Saccharomyces cerevisiae S288C: one gene and its partners. The protein of the gene in region 1 purifies or fractionates together with the protein of each later gene. This does not show direct contact. Each region holds a gene or a part of one and is shown on either strand. Other genes may lie near its edges.

What was found.
Region 2: the proteins of GRX5 (region 1) and BOL1 purify together in Saccharomyces cerevisiae (affinity purification with mass spectrometry; 2 studies listed by BioGRID). This does not show direct contact.
Region 3: the proteins of GRX5 (region 1) and BOL3 purify together in Saccharomyces cerevisiae (affinity purification with mass spectrometry; 2 studies listed by BioGRID). This does not show direct contact.

The regions. Positions count from the first base shown.
Region 1 is NC_001148.4:442,451-445,665, reverse strand, and holds GRX5 (monothiol glutaredoxin GRX5), read right to left. Parts: upstream 1,088-3,215; coding exon 635-1,087; downstream 1-634. UniProt on the Saccharomyces cerevisiae protein: Monothiol glutaredoxin involved in mitochondrial iron-sulfur (Fe/S) cluster transfer. Receives 2Fe/2S clusters from scaffold protein ISU1 and mediates their transfer to apoproteins, to the 4Fe/FS cluster biosynthesis machinery, or export from mitochondrion.
Region 2 is NC_001133.9:55,769-58,350, reverse strand, and holds BOL1 (Bol1p), read right to left. Parts: upstream 834-2,582; coding exon 501-833; downstream 1-500. Other genes in the region: GCV3 (glycine decarboxylase subunit H), read left to right, coding at 1-401; BOL3 (Bol3p), read left to right, coding at 966-1,322; gamma-tubulin complex subunit SPC72, read left to right, coding at 1,494-2,582.
Region 3 is NC_001133.9:56,529-59,143, forward strand, and holds BOL3 (Bol3p), read right to left. Parts: upstream 858-2,615; coding exon 501-857; downstream 1-500. Other genes in the region: gamma-tubulin complex subunit SPC72, read right to left, coding at 1-329; BOL1 (Bol1p), read left to right, coding at 990-1,322; GCV3 (glycine decarboxylase subunit H), read right to left, coding at 1,422-1,934; RNA-processing protein PTA1, read right to left, coding at 2,167-2,615. UniProt on the Saccharomyces cerevisiae protein: Acts as a mitochondrial iron-sulfur (Fe-S) cluster assembly factor that facilitates [4Fe-4S] cluster insertion into a subset of mitochondrial proteins such as lipoyl synthase (LS) and succinate dehydrogenase (SDH).

The DNA of each region.
Region 1 (3,215 bases):
ATTATTTAATATATTAATTATTAATACCATTTAAAAGAAAAGAATTTCATTTCTATCCCACTCGTGAGTAATGGCTTAAAGGCACAATTGTGTGTTCATTATATCCCTATCACCTTCAAAAGGAAGTTTGATCCTTTGACTAACATATTTGAAAGCTTCGCAGGGCAATAAAATTGAGCTCGCCTATTATCTTCCAATCCTTTTACGTTAAAAAAAATGGGGGAAAAGCAAACTGGTAACAGTACGGAATCTATCGAAAATCAAGAGAGTAACAAAGACAACCCCAACAAATGTCTGTCGCGTCTTTCGCACGTTGAATCAGAACGAAGATATGGCTTCTGTCATTCTAAAACTAACGTTTTTTGATTCAAGTCTATGCGGGGAATATTAAATATATTCATAATTCTCACTTCTTTGTTTTATAACGTCAATTCATTTGGCAAAGCAAAGAGAGGGGTTTGTAAGTAGAGAATCTGTTATTTACAAGTCTAAAGGCATGAGAATACATTACAAATCTTTAAAAAAATAGCAAATGTACATGCATATATAAATATGGATCGTAAAGGCCTATTATGCACACGAGTATTAAAGTGTTCGGCCACCAGTTCCTATTTTGCTTCCAGTGGTAACAAAATCAACGATCTTTGGTTTCTTCTTCTTCTTCAGGTACCAATGCCTGTGCCTCTTCTAGCAAATCGGCCAATTCACCAGAGCGTGCCATACTTGTAATAACATCACATCCACCAATGAATTCTTTGTTTACATATAACTGTGGAATAGTTGGCCATTCTGAAAACTCTTTGATACCTTCACGTAGCTCTGGGTCTTCTAAAACATTATAAGCCGCAAATTTGGCCGGGTCAACGCCTTGATTTCCTAATAATCCAATGGTTGCTCTTGAAAATCCACACTTGGGAAATTCAGGAGTACCTTTCATGAAAAGAACCACTGGAGCCGATTCGATGGCATCTTCAATAGCTTTTCTTATCTCTGTGCTCAAATACATCCGATTTTGGTAACGAAGAAGAGTCTTAGCCCGGAGGATGGGGGAAAATGACCTTATGGGATTGAATTTTGGGAGAAACATTGTCTGATTTCCTCAAATTTTTGCTAAAGTCAAAAAGTAAACAGATACCTTTGTGGCCTTGATATATGTGAAAAGAGTAATACAACTTCTTGTCCCTTTGGGACTAGAACGCATTTGTCATCAATACTTTATACCTTTACTTCCTAGAAGTGATTTATTTTGGTCGGGTAACGTTTTTCCAATAAGCTCAGATCAGTGCCAAATACCGGTTTAGACTCTTTACGGCACTAGTTATGCTTTATTGAATAAATTAAGCTCTGTATACTAAATTTAGAATCTCATGATTCCGTATGTAGTAAATTAACAGTTTGTACTATATTATAAAGAAGAATGAATGCATTGAACTTTTTGATCACAAGAAAAGTTGGCGTAGCAATACAACATACCTACTGTTCTCTCTTTGTTCGTGGTACCTTAATTAGTATTGTCGTAAGAAAATCTAAATGTCTTCTTTGGGCTAACTTATGATTTGCATACTTCTACAGTCGTCATAATGGACACCTTGTAATAAAAAGTGATGTGGTTCTCATCTGTTATAATAAATGGCTATGTGCGGCATTCGATGTCGTTTGAGATATTGACTACTAATGTATATTGAGATAAATCTGGCTGTTACCACAATTTGTCATTAGGTAGAAACGATAGCGCATGCTTAAAATAATTATGGATAGAAAACAGCAGTCGCGCTGTATGTAGAAAATATAAAACACATAAGTGATTCAGATCAGAACCCTCCTAAATCCCTAAAATATAGAAGTTCATTACATGGCAGTGATATATTAGAGGTTACCATCCTTTCTTAATATTGATAAGGCTACTAAATTAAGTGTTACTGGAACCTAGTTTCGCTTAATTCCTTTAGCTTTTGCATTCTATTTTTTCTTTTAATCAATCACTAATGAAGAAGCCTTAAGTCAGATAATGCCGTATCTAAGTATTCCTTTTGTAATAGCTCAATTTGTTAAAATACTCGTTCTCCTTGTGTTCTAGTGCATCAATTATCCATAATAATAAGCATATACTCGTACTGAATTATTCAATGGCCTAAATGGCAAGCACTAGCTTGCTCGAAGTTACTAACTGAACTATAAAACATTTTACTCTTTCAATTACTTTTAATTGAATCTTAAGCAGAATCAAAACTGCTTATGACTGCCATATGCTCAATGCGATGGCTCATATTTTCCATTTACATGAACCCCAGTTTATGTTCAAGTAGTATATGTTCTTAATTCAACGCAAACTGCTGATTTCACCATTGAATATTGTTTATATATGATATATACCGTCAAATTACTTCACGACAGTGTGAACTGTGATAAATCACTTGTTCCAACAAAATCCAGTACATTGGGTATTCGATCGCAGGCAATTATATTAATCGGGTATGCTAATATGGATTAGAGCCGTAGAAGCAGAACAAGGAGAATTACTTAATATTTGAAGTTCATTTAATATTCTTTGATTGTTGGAACGAGAGTAATTAATAGTGACATGAGTTGCTATGGTAACAATCTAATGCTTACATCGTATATTAATGTACAACTCGTATACGTTTAAGTGTGATTGCGCCTATTGCAGAAGGAATGTTAAACGAGAAGCTCAGACAATACTGAAGCTGTGTTAAAGACCTATTAGTTGAACATGATATGGTAGGTACATATATGAGGAATATGAGTCGTCACATCAATGTATAGTAACTACCGGAACCACTATTATATTGGTCATGATTAATATGACCAATCGGCGTGTGTTTTATATACCTCTCTTATTTAGTATAAGAAGATCAGTACTCACTTCTTCATTAATACTAATTTTTTACCTCTAATTATCAACATGGCGACCCCAGTGAGGGATGAAACAAGAAATGTTATTGACGACAACATTTCTGCGCGGATTCAATCGAAAGTCAAAACAAATGATACTGTCAGACAGACGCCATCATCATTAAGAAAAGTTTCTATTAAAGATGAACAGGTGAAACAATATCAAAGAAACTTAAATAGGTTTAAAACCATACTAAATGGTTTAAAGGCAGAAGAGGAAAAACTTTCTGAGACTGATGATATTCAGATGCTAGCTGAAAAATTATTAAAACTCGGAGAAACCATTGACAAGGTTGAGAATA
Region 2 (2,582 bases), on another chromosome or scaffold:
CATCCCAAGGACCTCAAGCCGTGAGGTACACTTCCCAACATGAGTGGATAGCTGTGCATCAGGACAAGACTGCCTTTGTCGGAATTACAAAATACGCCACTGATGCCTTAGGGGACGCTACCTATGTTGAGTTGCCAGAAGTGGGCACTGAGATTGCCCAAGGTGAGTCGCTAGGGTCCATTGAGTCCGTCAAGTCAGCCTCCGAGATCTACCAGCCTGCCGATGGTACCGTAGAGGAAATTAACACTAATCTTGAGGAAAATCCAGGTGTGGTGAACGAAGATCCTATGGGTGACGGCTGGCTAGTCAAAATGAAGCTTGGTGAGGGCGTTAATGTGGAACAGGTCGAGGGTCTAATGTCCTTAGAACAGTACGAAAAGACACTGGTTCATGATGACTGAACAAAGCTTATACGTACGTAAAGTAATTTCATATATATGTATATATATGTAGGGGAAATAAAACAATAAACTCAACGTGTACACTTATGCTTATGCATTCTATTTCGCTTTGGATTCATACTCCTGTGGGGTCTTTAGTGACAATTGTAAAGCATGGATACCGTTCGCCTGAGCCATCTCGTCTTGCAAGAGGGAATAAACCATACGATGGCGTTGTGGAAGTTTCAGGCCTTCGAACTTTTTACTGACCATCTCAATCCGGAAATGTGTCTCAGCAGAGACATTTCCCTGTACACCAGCATGGCCCTTATGCTTGTGAGAATCGTTGTAGAGGCCAAACGCAAAGTTCTTGTAATCTGGAAAGCCGCATTCCAGTCTCTTCAGGATGGTACGTGCCACGGGACCATCTGTGCTCATTGCTCTCTTGAACATTATTCTCTTTCCACTTTCGTTTGCTGCTAACGATGCTATTCTCTTTTTGATTCGTCATTCCGGAACATATATAAGTTTCTTTATTTGGTCACTGAGAACCATAAAAGCGAAAAGAGAAGGTAAAACATAGAAATGAAGCTCCCACAGACCATGCTACGTTCTATATCTGTGAAGCATGTCCGGTGGCCAAGGATTCTGACGGGCTCAAAGCTTTGGTACTCAACGCAGATGGCAATGACTCCGGAGGAGAAGATGATCACCGATAAACTACAACAGGAACTGGAACCTGAAGTGTGTAAAGTGCAAGACGTTTCCGGTGGCTGCGGATCCATGTTTGCTATCAACATAACAAGCAAGAAGTTCAACGGACTGAGTCTCATCAAGCAGCACCAGCTGGTGAACAGAATTTTGAGGGACGATATTTCCAGATGGCATGGCCTACAATTGACCACTAAGAAGTCAACTGGGAAGGGTCCGGCATCATCATGAACAGTTTGGAACCAAAAAAGCTCGTGTAAGTATCACTTTTAGTTTACTTTTGCTTCCCTCTGTGTATATTCTTTATATATGTATTTATTATTTTAATTGAAATCGCGAAATTTCACATAAGCAACACTAATATCAAAAAACTAAGCAAACAACATAAGGAAAGTTATAGCCATGGTACGTCGATGGATTCCTAGTGGCAGGCATCTTCGCAATAATGACAACACTGGTGATGATGACGACAGCGAGTTCACAAACTCGATGGATTCTGGGATGTCCATACCATCACTCAGGGACTCCATGACCACGAGGTCATCTCATAACGATCCCATCAAGCCTGCTCTGATGAACGATTCCAACAAAGTCAAAAATTTGGAGAAGGAGTTGACTAATGCCAAAATCAAGATTCAAGTACTCTATGAATACATTCGCAGAATCCCTAATAAAGACGGCAATGCACCATCGCTGGGCAATGACACTGATTTTAGAAATTCGATTATCGAGGGTCTAAATCTTGAAATAAACAAATTGAAACAGGATTTAAAGGCGAAGGAAGTCGAGTACCAAGATACGCTACAATTCGTTCAAGAGAATTTAGAAAATTCGGAAAGTATCGTGAATACGATCAATCACCTATTGTCCTTTATATTGACGCATTTTAATGAGCAAGATGAAAATGCCCATCTTCTTGATAAAGAAGAGAGGGAGACCCTGGAGGAAACTTTAGAGCTGAGCTCGGATTATGTTCTTGAAAAAATGGATACTTTGTCCAAGTTCATCATCCAATTCTTGCAGGACTTTTTGCATTCCAAAAGTCGAGCGGAATCAAAGCAGGATAAGGAAGAATTTCTTTCACTGGCCCAGTCCTCACCAGCAGGATCACAGTTAGAAAGTAGGGACTCACCATCAAGTAAAGAGGAGAATACTGATGGTGGATACCAGAATGACGAAATTCATGACAGTAACAACCACATTGATACAGAAAATGTAATGGCAAACAGTACTTCCTTACCAATTTCAGCCGTCGAGTCTCGTTTTGAGAAAACCTTAGACACTCAATTAGAGATTGTCATAGAAAATTTGCACAAAGAATATGATCAATTTATAAATTCCATTAGATTGAAATTCGAGAAATCGCAAAAATTAGAAAAAATAATAGCGTCCAAACTAAATGAGCAGTCTCATCTACTAGATTCCTTAGAATTGGAAGAAAATTCTAGTTCCGTTATAGAAAAACAAGATCATTTGATTTCCCAACTGAAG
Region 3 (2,615 bases), on another chromosome or scaffold:
TCGATAATCGAATTTCTAAAATCAGTGTCATTGCCCAGCGATGGTGCATTGCCGTCTTTATTAGGGATTCTGCGAATGTATTCATAGAGTACTTGAATCTTGATTTTGGCATTAGTCAACTCCTTCTCCAAATTTTTGACTTTGTTGGAATCGTTCATCAGAGCAGGCTTGATGGGATCGTTATGAGATGACCTCGTGGTCATGGAGTCCCTGAGTGATGGTATGGACATCCCAGAATCCATCGAGTTTGTGAACTCGCTGTCGTCATCATCACCAGTGTTGTCATTATTGCGAAGATGCCTGCCACTAGGAATCCATCGACGTACCATGGCTATAACTTTCCTTATGTTGTTTGCTTAGTTTTTTGATATTAGTGTTGCTTATGTGAAATTTCGCGATTTCAATTAAAATAATAAATACATATATAAAGAATATACACAGAGGGAAGCAAAAGTAAACTAAAAGTGATACTTACACGAGCTTTTTTGGTTCCAAACTGTTCATGATGATGCCGGACCCTTCCCAGTTGACTTCTTAGTGGTCAATTGTAGGCCATGCCATCTGGAAATATCGTCCCTCAAAATTCTGTTCACCAGCTGGTGCTGCTTGATGAGACTCAGTCCGTTGAACTTCTTGCTTGTTATGTTGATAGCAAACATGGATCCGCAGCCACCGGAAACGTCTTGCACTTTACACACTTCAGGTTCCAGTTCCTGTTGTAGTTTATCGGTGATCATCTTCTCCTCCGGAGTCATTGCCATCTGCGTTGAGTACCAAAGCTTTGAGCCCGTCAGAATCCTTGGCCACCGGACATGCTTCACAGATATAGAACGTAGCATGGTCTGTGGGAGCTTCATTTCTATGTTTTACCTTCTCTTTTCGCTTTTATGGTTCTCAGTGACCAAATAAAGAAACTTATATATGTTCCGGAATGACGAATCAAAAAGAGAATAGCATCGTTAGCAGCAAACGAAAGTGGAAAGAGAATAATGTTCAAGAGAGCAATGAGCACAGATGGTCCCGTGGCACGTACCATCCTGAAGAGACTGGAATGCGGCTTTCCAGATTACAAGAACTTTGCGTTTGGCCTCTACAACGATTCTCACAAGCATAAGGGCCATGCTGGTGTACAGGGAAATGTCTCTGCTGAGACACATTTCCGGATTGAGATGGTCAGTAAAAAGTTCGAAGGCCTGAAACTTCCACAACGCCATCGTATGGTTTATTCCCTCTTGCAAGACGAGATGGCTCAGGCGAACGGTATCCATGCTTTACAATTGTCACTAAAGACCCCACAGGAGTATGAATCCAAAGCGAAATAGAATGCATAAGCATAAGTGTACACGTTGAGTTTATTGTTTTATTTCCCCTACATATATATACATATATATGAAATTACTTTACGTACGTATAAGCTTTGTTCAGTCATCATGAACCAGTGTCTTTTCGTACTGTTCTAAGGACATTAGACCCTCGACCTGTTCCACATTAACGCCCTCACCAAGCTTCATTTTGACTAGCCAGCCGTCACCCATAGGATCTTCGTTCACCACACCTGGATTTTCCTCAAGATTAGTGTTAATTTCCTCTACGGTACCATCGGCAGGCTGGTAGATCTCGGAGGCTGACTTGACGGACTCAATGGACCCTAGCGACTCACCTTGGGCAATCTCAGTGCCCACTTCTGGCAACTCAACATAGGTAGCGTCCCCTAAGGCATCAGTGGCGTATTTTGTAATTCCGACAAAGGCAGTCTTGTCCTGATGCACAGCTATCCACTCATGTTGGGAAGTGTACCTCACGGCTTGAGGTCCTTGGGATGAGTACAAAAATGGTAGTTTATTCTTGTTTAGGGCATTGCCGGAGCTGTTTCTCAAAAACAATTTGCTCACAGTGGGCATGCGGGTGGTCCATAGTCTAGTAGTGCGTAACATTGTCGATGTGGTATGCTTCATGTGGAGATTCCCTTTCCCATTAGATACTTGTTTGTTGGTCTGTATATATAGAAGAAAGAGTTAGCGAAAGTGACTCCGCCGCTGAATGACTCCTTACGGAAGTGTCAAAATTGCGAGGTCCCTATAGCACAGAATGATAGATAAAACATTGATTTGCAAGTTGAAGGAAGACCCTACACATGCGTATATATGATGTATGTAATGGTTGTGATCATTTTAGCCTGTCAAGCAGTGAATCGCACTGCTTGTGTAAGCCTTCATCTTCTTGCTTTAGCTGATGCAGCAGGTCGCGAACAGTGTCCTGCACTGGGGGTCTAAACATAATGAGAAACTTTAGCGTTTGGAAACCAAGGGAACTTCTTGCCGGATCCAGGCAGATAGGCTTCAGTGCCTCAAGATGATCGCTTTGAAGACTGGGCAGTTCGCTCATAAGTCTGATGAAGAATCGTCTGTGTTTGTTTTCAAGGAATGGACCCAGAGACTCGAGAACTCTTAAGGACCATTTTTTGTAGTTAGAGGGATCTTGATGCAGCGAGGTTTGGAAGAACCATTCTTCATTGAGCCATTCAATGATCAGACTGACACGTTGCTCGAAATCCTGGATGAAGAAGCCAAGCAGTTCTTCACGAATCAGGTCACTGGCCTCTTGTGCTTCGATTC